2 linked regions of the Oryzias latipes genome follow. The main gene of each other region encodes a partner of the protein of the gene in region 2 in a complex. Links are inferred from orthologs where the notes say so. Each region holds a gene or a part of one and is shown on either strand. Other genes may lie near its edges.

The links.
Region 1: trappc11 (region 2) and trappc12 share a complex: the UniProt entries of both Homo sapiens proteins name them as parts of the multisubunit TRAPP (transport protein particle) complex. The link is inferred for Oryzias latipes from reciprocal best matches to the Homo sapiens genes TRAPPC11 and TRAPPC12.

What each region holds. Positions count from the first base shown.
Region 1 is NC_019880.2:20,778,979-20,782,797, reverse strand, and holds part of trappc12 (trafficking protein particle complex subunit 12), read right to left. Parts: intron 2,776-3,819; coding exon 2,662-2,775; intron 1,565-2,661; coding exon 1,426-1,564; intron 1-1,425. UniProt on the Homo sapiens protein: Component of the TRAPP complex, which is involved in endoplasmic reticulum to Golgi apparatus trafficking at a very early stage.
Region 2 is NC_019868.2:27,368,576-27,373,128, reverse strand, and holds the start of trappc11 (trafficking protein particle complex subunit 11), read right to left. Parts: upstream 3,076-4,553; 5' UTR 2,750-3,075; exon of another isoform or gene 2,670-2,749; intron 2,173-2,669; 5' UTR 2,151-2,172; coding exon 1,947-2,150; intron 1,822-1,946; coding exon 1,652-1,821; intron 1-1,651. UniProt on the Homo sapiens protein: Involved in endoplasmic reticulum to Golgi apparatus trafficking at a very early stage.

The sequences.
Region 1 (3,819 bases), on a different chromosome or scaffold from region 2:
TTTGTTTGGCTAAAGATGATCTGGATCCATTTGAGGCCAGTAAATAAAATGAATCCTTATACCACTGGTTGCATTTTAGGAACCAATGTGAAGTTTTATTTAAGACTTACAAAATTTGATCATTGTTTGAAAATCTCCTTCCATTTTGTCCGTACCCGACACGTCCCTGATTTAGCGCCACCTTTGGGGCGTCTGCAGTCTAACAATTGAACACAGCAGAGGCAGAAAGTCTGCTGGAAATGCATATTGGTAAACAGAAACAGCAATTTGTTGGTTGATTACTATTGCTAAGATTTACTGAAACTACCGTTTGTTATACGCTTACCTGCTAAATGAGTGTATTTCTGAGTGACGTTACTGCGCCATTGTTTAACAGTCCATTTTAAACTCAGTTTTTATTTCAAAAGCAAGACAATGAGGGATGAGCAAGCTTTTGCTGAGTTAACCCTTGTGCTATCTTAGATGACCCCACCCTTACATTGACGTGTTCTCCCTACCATGACAAAGGTGGATAAAGGTGGAAAGATTTCATGTAATCCATGGACACCAGTGAAGATCACAAATCATTTGAGAAAAAAGGTTCAGAGCACTGTCTAGTAGTGGGTCTAGATGACCCAACTCCCAATGGTAAAGGGCCTTAGATAGCACAAGGGTTACTCTCAATTCTTGGTGATGACACAGGTATAAGCCTTCTTTTATCGCGTTAACAGAGGGTTGTTGGGGATAAAAAAACAGCCTACACATGCATCAGACAATACAAACGTTGGACTTCTGATCCTATACTACACAACTTAGCAGTTTGTCTCTGGGGAATCAGTGGGCATAAAGGGTTTAATATTGAGCAATGGAAAGTCAATGGGTGCGCTTGTCAGAAGGCTGTGCGATGTCGTTTTGAGCGCTGCTCTTTTTTAAGAACAAGTGTGTGTGTGCAGCTGTATCTCTGATACTGCCTTCATTGTGGTAGCCAGAGGGTGAAGCAGATCCAAAGTAATGGGAATACATTAGAGAGCGATTCATGCAGTGTAAAAAGAGGAAAAACAAAACCAGAGAACTGCTGGAGACAAGTAGAGTTGTTGAAGTTTGTCAATGATACAGTCTGATGTGAAGCTCCTGGCAGAAACTTTCCTGTGAATATTTAATTAGAAAGTTGTGGTGCAGTGTTAATAATGCGGGTATGAGGCTAAATTCTCCTAGAGAGCAGAACAATAGTGCTGCAATTACTTCATGACACTTTTTCAGCAAACATTTGAATTTAGCAGGTTTTAGACAAATGGAACATGAAAGGAGACGAGAGTTAAAGTCTGAGTGTAGAACTGAGGAGCGTAACCTTTGAAATCTCACTGTCTTTAACCTAATTTGAAAGTCATTCCTTCATATATAATTTCACTCATCAGATGGGGGAAGGTTCGACGTTTTTACACATACCTCTCTTCCCGGGGTAAACAGCTGGGTAGTATTCGTAATACAGGTCTGGCTGATCCAGGTTGCCAAAGGGTTCAAACTCTAGCTCAGCATTTTGGAAAAGGTTCAGCTTGGTGAACAGAGCCAGGCGTACAAACCAGAGCTGGAACACACAGAAAATCATTCTAAACTGTTGGTAAAACCATTTTCCAGCCGGTGTTATCAGGCAGACAGCACCACTGTGGCATTTTCCATACAAACATTTCACATAGAAATGGGTTAAAGAGGTTCATATATCTGCGTTCTCTCTGAAACGTCCTGAATGTTTCAATGCATCATTATTTAAAGGGTCTATATCATGCAAAGTCAACTTTTATGAGCTTTTAAGTGATTTATAATGTTTATTCCTCATGAAAAACAACCCCAAAGTGGTACTTTGATCCATTCACTCATTTCTAAGTATTCCACTAAAAACCTGCTCTCTGAGGACCAGCCCCTCCCAATCCACAAAAATGAGCGGGTTCATTGTCACATTGTGACATCACAAAGTGAGAACCCGCCCCTTCCAGGAAGAGAATTTTCTGCAATCCCCTCCCCCAGTCTAACACACACGCCCACTTCCTCCGTGGAGCTAGTGATCGGCTAAATGCTTCCATTTATGAACAATATGAACATCCATCTTTGGAAATGTTCAGATGTGTTGTTTTCATGGGAGAAACTCAGACACTATGCTGAGGCCAACTCTAGGATGATGTCACGAAATGGGCGGCACCCACAAGGAGAGAAAGGCGGAGCCTCAGAGATCCAGTCGTCTTAGTTCCAGGTAGGAAAATGAGCAAAAATAACTCATATTTCACAAAAGAATGGTTCTTTAGTGGGTCAAAGGTCATATATGATCATAAATGTGGATTTAGTTTACTCTAAAAGACTTAAGAAAAGCAGGATATAGACCCTTTAAAGTAATCAGTAGAAAGTAGCATTCAAATTCAGTCAAAAATTCTAGACATGTCTCTAAATCAGACAGGCATCTTCTAAAATAGTTTAACTATTCAGGTGTGGTAGCTAACAACATTTTGTTCCAGGAATGCTCTTAGGTCTACTGCTGGACGGGTTCTATTTCCTACTAAGAAGTAATCGCATTACTAGGCAGCACAACATGCGCCTTGGCTTCATTCATCTCTCCTGCCCACAGAAACACAGCACTCGAGTGGCGGGAAGACAGCGAGATGGATGGCTGCAGAGAAACTGCTGGCATCCTACCTGCAGAGAGTCGGTGGTGTGAGACGCCGCTTGGCCGGCCTTGCCGTATCCTTGACCATGAGCTGTCAGCAGCCGTCCCGTCAGATCCACTGCTGCTCGCCAGTTCTTGCTGCTCTGCAGGGGGCAAATGCATTGCATGTTTGAGACCTGCTGACCGGTGGAACAACAGCAACACATTTTTTAGAGCGCTTAAATGCACGGATACCTTGTTTTCCTGTCATCAGGGCACTTTTCATTTCATGTCTTCATTCTTTTCAACACTGATTGACCCAAAAACAAAGTTTCTAAGACTAGCGTGACCGGGGGACATAAAACTAAGGTTAAAGCAACAGAAAAAGAGTTATTCAAAACTAAAGCAGAAAATGGATTTGCTCATCTCCACTGCAAAATCCACAACGAAGGGGAAAACGTCTGTATGCACTCCAGATAAAGAAAAAAGTGGTGCTGATTGCTGAACAATCTGTTAAAAAATGACAGCAATGAAGGTCAGCGCTTGGGTTCAGCGGCTCTTCTGAAAACCGTCATCAGTTAGAAACCTGAGTTAGAAACAGAGAACACAGACAAACACGATTCAGAGAGTTGTGTGCGTTCTCTAGAACCACCTCTCCTGTGAGCTGATTATAAATGGTGCTGCTGGAGTTCGGACGAGTCAGCACAGACTTGGAGATCCCTAAAGGCATCGCCACTGTAACTGAAGAGAGTGATGGGGAACAGTGAAAAACTTCCATCATGAAACCTATATATAACCTGTAAAACCCCAACTGATGACATATCATCTCAGTGATTTGTTCAAAGCTGGACTTGGTAGAGATCCTAACGGTGAACGTCAGTAAACAGAATGATCAAACTGTGGTCCAACCACGACGGCCATCAATGGAGGCATACGTGGACTTTGTTAGCTACCTACAGATTCAAATGATAATCAGAGGGACACATCGTCTCAGCTCCATAATTTATGGAGCAACCTGGCAACTAATCATCTAAAAAATGAAGAGGATTTCGATATATTCCTGTAATCCCCTGATTCATCTTTAATCTCCAAAAATACTTCACCTCTTGGAAAACCTGGAGCTCATGCAGTATTTGAGTTGTGAGACAAAACTGGCCTTCTTCCAGGTTGTTAGGATTTGAAAACTGCAAACAAATGAAAAAGATGTG
Region 2 (4,553 bases):
GAAGCTCACGGTCAACTTTTACATTTAAAGCATGTGGACAAGTGAGTAACACAAAAAAGTGATCCCATTTTGACCGCAGAAAAAAACAAATCTGTTTTTCTTGTTTGGCCCTTAAGATCTAGCAACCACAGGTTGTTGCCACATGTTTACAACGACTTATTACATACTGTATTTTCCGGACTATAAGTCGCTCCGGAGTACAAGTCACACCCCTTGCCAAACTATGAAAAAAAGGGCGACTTATAGTCCGGAAAATACTGTAATTTGGCCAAACACATCCAAGAACTGCAAATCTTACAAAGTCCTGGGGGCCAGATATGATTGATTCTATGGTAGGAGCCTGCGGGCCGGTAGAAACTTGAATGCGGGCTGCGTTTGGCCCACGGGCCAGACTTTGTACATACGTTTTAGACCACTGTCAATCAACCTCCTCCACGCCATGTCTCCTGTACAGAATGCATGCAGCTCTTCAAATTTTACAATCCTGGACTTATTTTTCTATGAAGGTTTGACCTCTGAGAGTTTAAAGAAGAGAGAAAAGTGTGAAAATGTTCAAGTCTGTGGATAAAGCGTGTAGTGAGTAAAGCTAAAAGTATTTTGGTTGTGCGTTGGTCTGAGGGGGAAATGGTTTTTGCACTCCTGTCGTTTTTGCGTTGGACTGGCGTCTTGGAACGGTTGATGCCTTCTGCGGACGAAACGCCGTTTTCTTCACAGCAGAAAGATTCTCGGATTCGTCCATCATTGCAAGTAAAACTAATATTTCTTTAGGTCAACAGGACATATTATTTAACTTGGTGACAGCAATCGAAAACCATTTGTCATTGTACTTGTGCAATGACAATAAAGCTAATTTATTCTACCACAGCCTCATAGTTACAGATATTTTACATGTTAGGTTCCCAAGATAGCGCCACCCACAGGACAAACAATACAGTTCTTCTCCAACACATACAGTGCAGTGAAGAACACAACTGTTATCAAATGATTTAGTAAATGTGACATTTTATGTCCCCCTTCATCTCAGATGCTTGATTAGTGTTTCTTCACAAAAGAATCTTTGTGATTTTGCTTAAACTGGACATTTGTGCGTGTAAATTTATTAAATCTTTATGAGAGGCAAGACATTTTTTTAATGTATATTTATTACTATCAATCCTGTTTTAACAAATGAATATTATGATTAAGTGAAGCACATTTTCATTTATGACTTTTAATAAATGTATATTTTTTAATTTAAAATGTTTTTTTTTTTTTCATACATAAAGTCACATTAAAAGGACGTCCAGATAAAAAAATCAAACGTTTCCACAGACGCACGTGCTTATGTACGTCTTAGCGGGACACCAGCCTTTGCTGCTGTTCCTTCTTGGTGTCAGTTTGGTCTCTGAATGCCCTTAGGTGAGTTGTGGTGTCATGAATGCAGCCCTGCACCCCACTGGAACTTTCACACCTTTGTGCCACCTAATCTATAGCTTCACAACCAAAACCTCAGTGCAGTCTCCTCAGCGCCTTTACGGTTAAAGTTTGGCTAGACTTAATGTCATTATTGAGGTTATAGCTGATGCAAAGGCATGTCGGTTTGATTAAAACTGCAACGCAACACCCCCGTTGACAGCTTTGGGTTAAATGTAGTTTTGTCGCCATCACCTACCTGACAATTTCCACTTTCGTCGCACATTCAGACTGTTTTTCCTTCCACTGCGGGTCATCCCAGTCCAGTTCGTAAAACAAAACTACCAGAGCAGGAACCAGGTTCAGATGCTTGTTCATCCAGCCTGTTTTTAGGATGCCTTTGGGGATGTACCACTCGTAAGATGTCCGCTAATTAAGAAGAAAAACAAAAATCATTTACCTTCCTAAATGAATTCCTTTCTTTAAATCTCAGTAGGATTGTTAATCCCTGAGAAAAGTAATATTTTTAAATGAACTTTGCACAGATTCGTCACCTTGGTGCGACATTTGGGATACTCGTGGTCTCCTGCGAGCACTTTGAAAGAGATGGGGACTCTGTCAGCTCGACGGTTGGCACAGAAAGCGTCCCAGATGGCCCGATGCACAGCATTGTACACAACATCCAGACCAGTCAGAGCCACAAAAGCCATGGGCCGGCAGCAAAGCTCCGGGGGAAGGTCCCACTGGGAACCAGCCATCCTTATGCTTTAACAGACACACCTGCACAAAACAAACACGATCTCTCTATAATGGAGCCCCTGCAGAGGAAGCTTAAACATGTCGTTTAGTCAATGAAGCAGAAAATAACACATACTTTTCATTTATGAAACCTTAATGAGTATTTTGCAAGAAAAATACCGACTAAATAACATGCACCTATGCAAGAAAAACTGAAAATAAATAAATAAACAGACGTAAATATTATCCAGCAGCAGGTCACAAGACTTGGACTTGGTTAGCAGTCACTTAGCTTCTTAGCTTCTTAGCTTTGACACTTGTTTACATCTACCGGTGTTGAGCTGAACTTAGCAGCTCCCATCGAGGCTTCACGGAGCGCAGGGATTATCTGCTGCTGAGAAACATCCTCCACAACACGGACCGAGTAGCTGTCATTGAATATTTTTGAACCACCATCCGGCCAATATTATAAAACACAAACGCAGAGACGAAAGCGGAACTAAGCAAACAGGATAACGCTAGCAGAAGGCGATGCTAACCGTTTAGCTCAACGGAAAGGCGACTCAAAATTGCATGTCTGTGAGAGAGAACATCATGGACGCGTTCCTGGGGAGCTTACCTCAGTTGCATTGCTAGGTGAATTCGTGAAAGCAGTGCAGCAGCAGCAAGGCTCAGCTAATGGGCTAGCTGTCAGCGGCTCAGGAGTGACAAGCTGGCTAGTAGTAGTGGGCGAGGCTGAACATTTCCTTGGCGAGTATTTAGTTCTAGTTTCCGGCCGCCCAACTTCACAAAAGCTAGATTCTAACTCTATTTACCATTAGAACGCTAAACATTGCTCTGACATTATCTGTGAATCAAAAACTGACAGCGGATTTAGCTGCGGTTGCTGACGAGACCAGAAAGTCTCCAGCTAGTTAGCTTGTTCTGGGAAACTTGAACTGCACATCCGGCTTGGTTTTTCAAAATAAAACGAAGAGCCCTTGTATTTTCCTGCAGAAAAGAAAAGCAACATGGAAAAGGAGTAAAAGGAAAATAAAGTGCACAAACACCAAGTAATGAATGCAAATGTAAGTTTTTTTTTATATGGATTTATAGCAAATGCACATATTTGCTTAATGTAAAATGTTCCACAGTTTTCACATTTGTCTCTGTCTTGTCCTCTCAGTCAATGATCAGACTGTTTAACTATGTGAGGTTACTATTTTTTCCCCCCTTATAGCAATTCTTTTCTTCCCACTGTCTAATTTTGCTTGCCCAGCAACAAGGAATATGCATCAAGAAAACCCTTCAAGACAATGTTTGACACATATGGCCTGTTGTTAAAACACAATTAAAACAAATGAGCTTTATTATACACAATTTTTATTTTATAATAATAAAAATCATGATTCATTTAGCCTAGTTGAATGTATTTGCTTTTTGTAAAATGTCTCAAGAAAACCACAGTTGCAATTTGATACTTAAACCAAGTTGAATAGAACAATACAATGACGAAAATAGGAAATTTAAACAGGTTTGAAGATCCAATCTGATTAATGAAGAAAAAAAAAGTAAAATGCAGATTATGTTAGAGGTGAGCAGCAGCATTCTGTCCGGGATACCCGATGCCTTTCTCCAACTCCCTCCTCTCTCCTGTGGTCATTGTTGCAGCAACACAGTAGAAAAATAAAATCCACAAATCCTCCAATATTCCACATTCAGTCCTATAGATCTCCTCATAAGCCAAAGTGTGGCTGAAGCATCCAGAAGAAAGAAGAAGACAAACTTCTCCAGGCGAGAGAGAAGCAACCAGAACAATAACGTCATTTTTTCCTTTCCACTTTCGGCTTCTCCCATCAGGGGTCGCCACAGCGAACAAGTCGCATGGTAAATTTGGCAATGTTTTACGCCGGATGCCCTTCCTGACGCAACCTTCTCAAACCGGGCTTGGAACCGGCAGAGGTAGAGAAGGGAAGAGGGAGCAGCCCGGAGTCGAACCTGGGTTTCACGGACGGAAGGCGCCGCAAACCAGCACGAGCTAAACTGGCTCAACCAGAACAATAACGTCATAATAAAAAAATTTGTGAATACATTTTTTAATGAAAACAATACATAACTAAGAAAAATAAATCTGTAAAACAATTTCCCTCTATCCCTCTATCTTTATTTTAGGATTTAGGAAACAAGAAAAACATTTTACATAATAGCAAAAATATCACAAATTAGTTGAAGGCCAGATATTAACATTCAATTAAACAGACTGCCATAAAAAAAGAGAAATAGCACAAATATAAATTCTAATAAAATTATATTTATTTTATAAGTAATGTTTATATTATTTTTATGAATAAATACATAAAATACATTAAAAGTTATGTAAATTATAAATACTGACAGATGGAATAATTTTATTTTTTGTGTATTTCTTTGGTCAGAAATGTTGA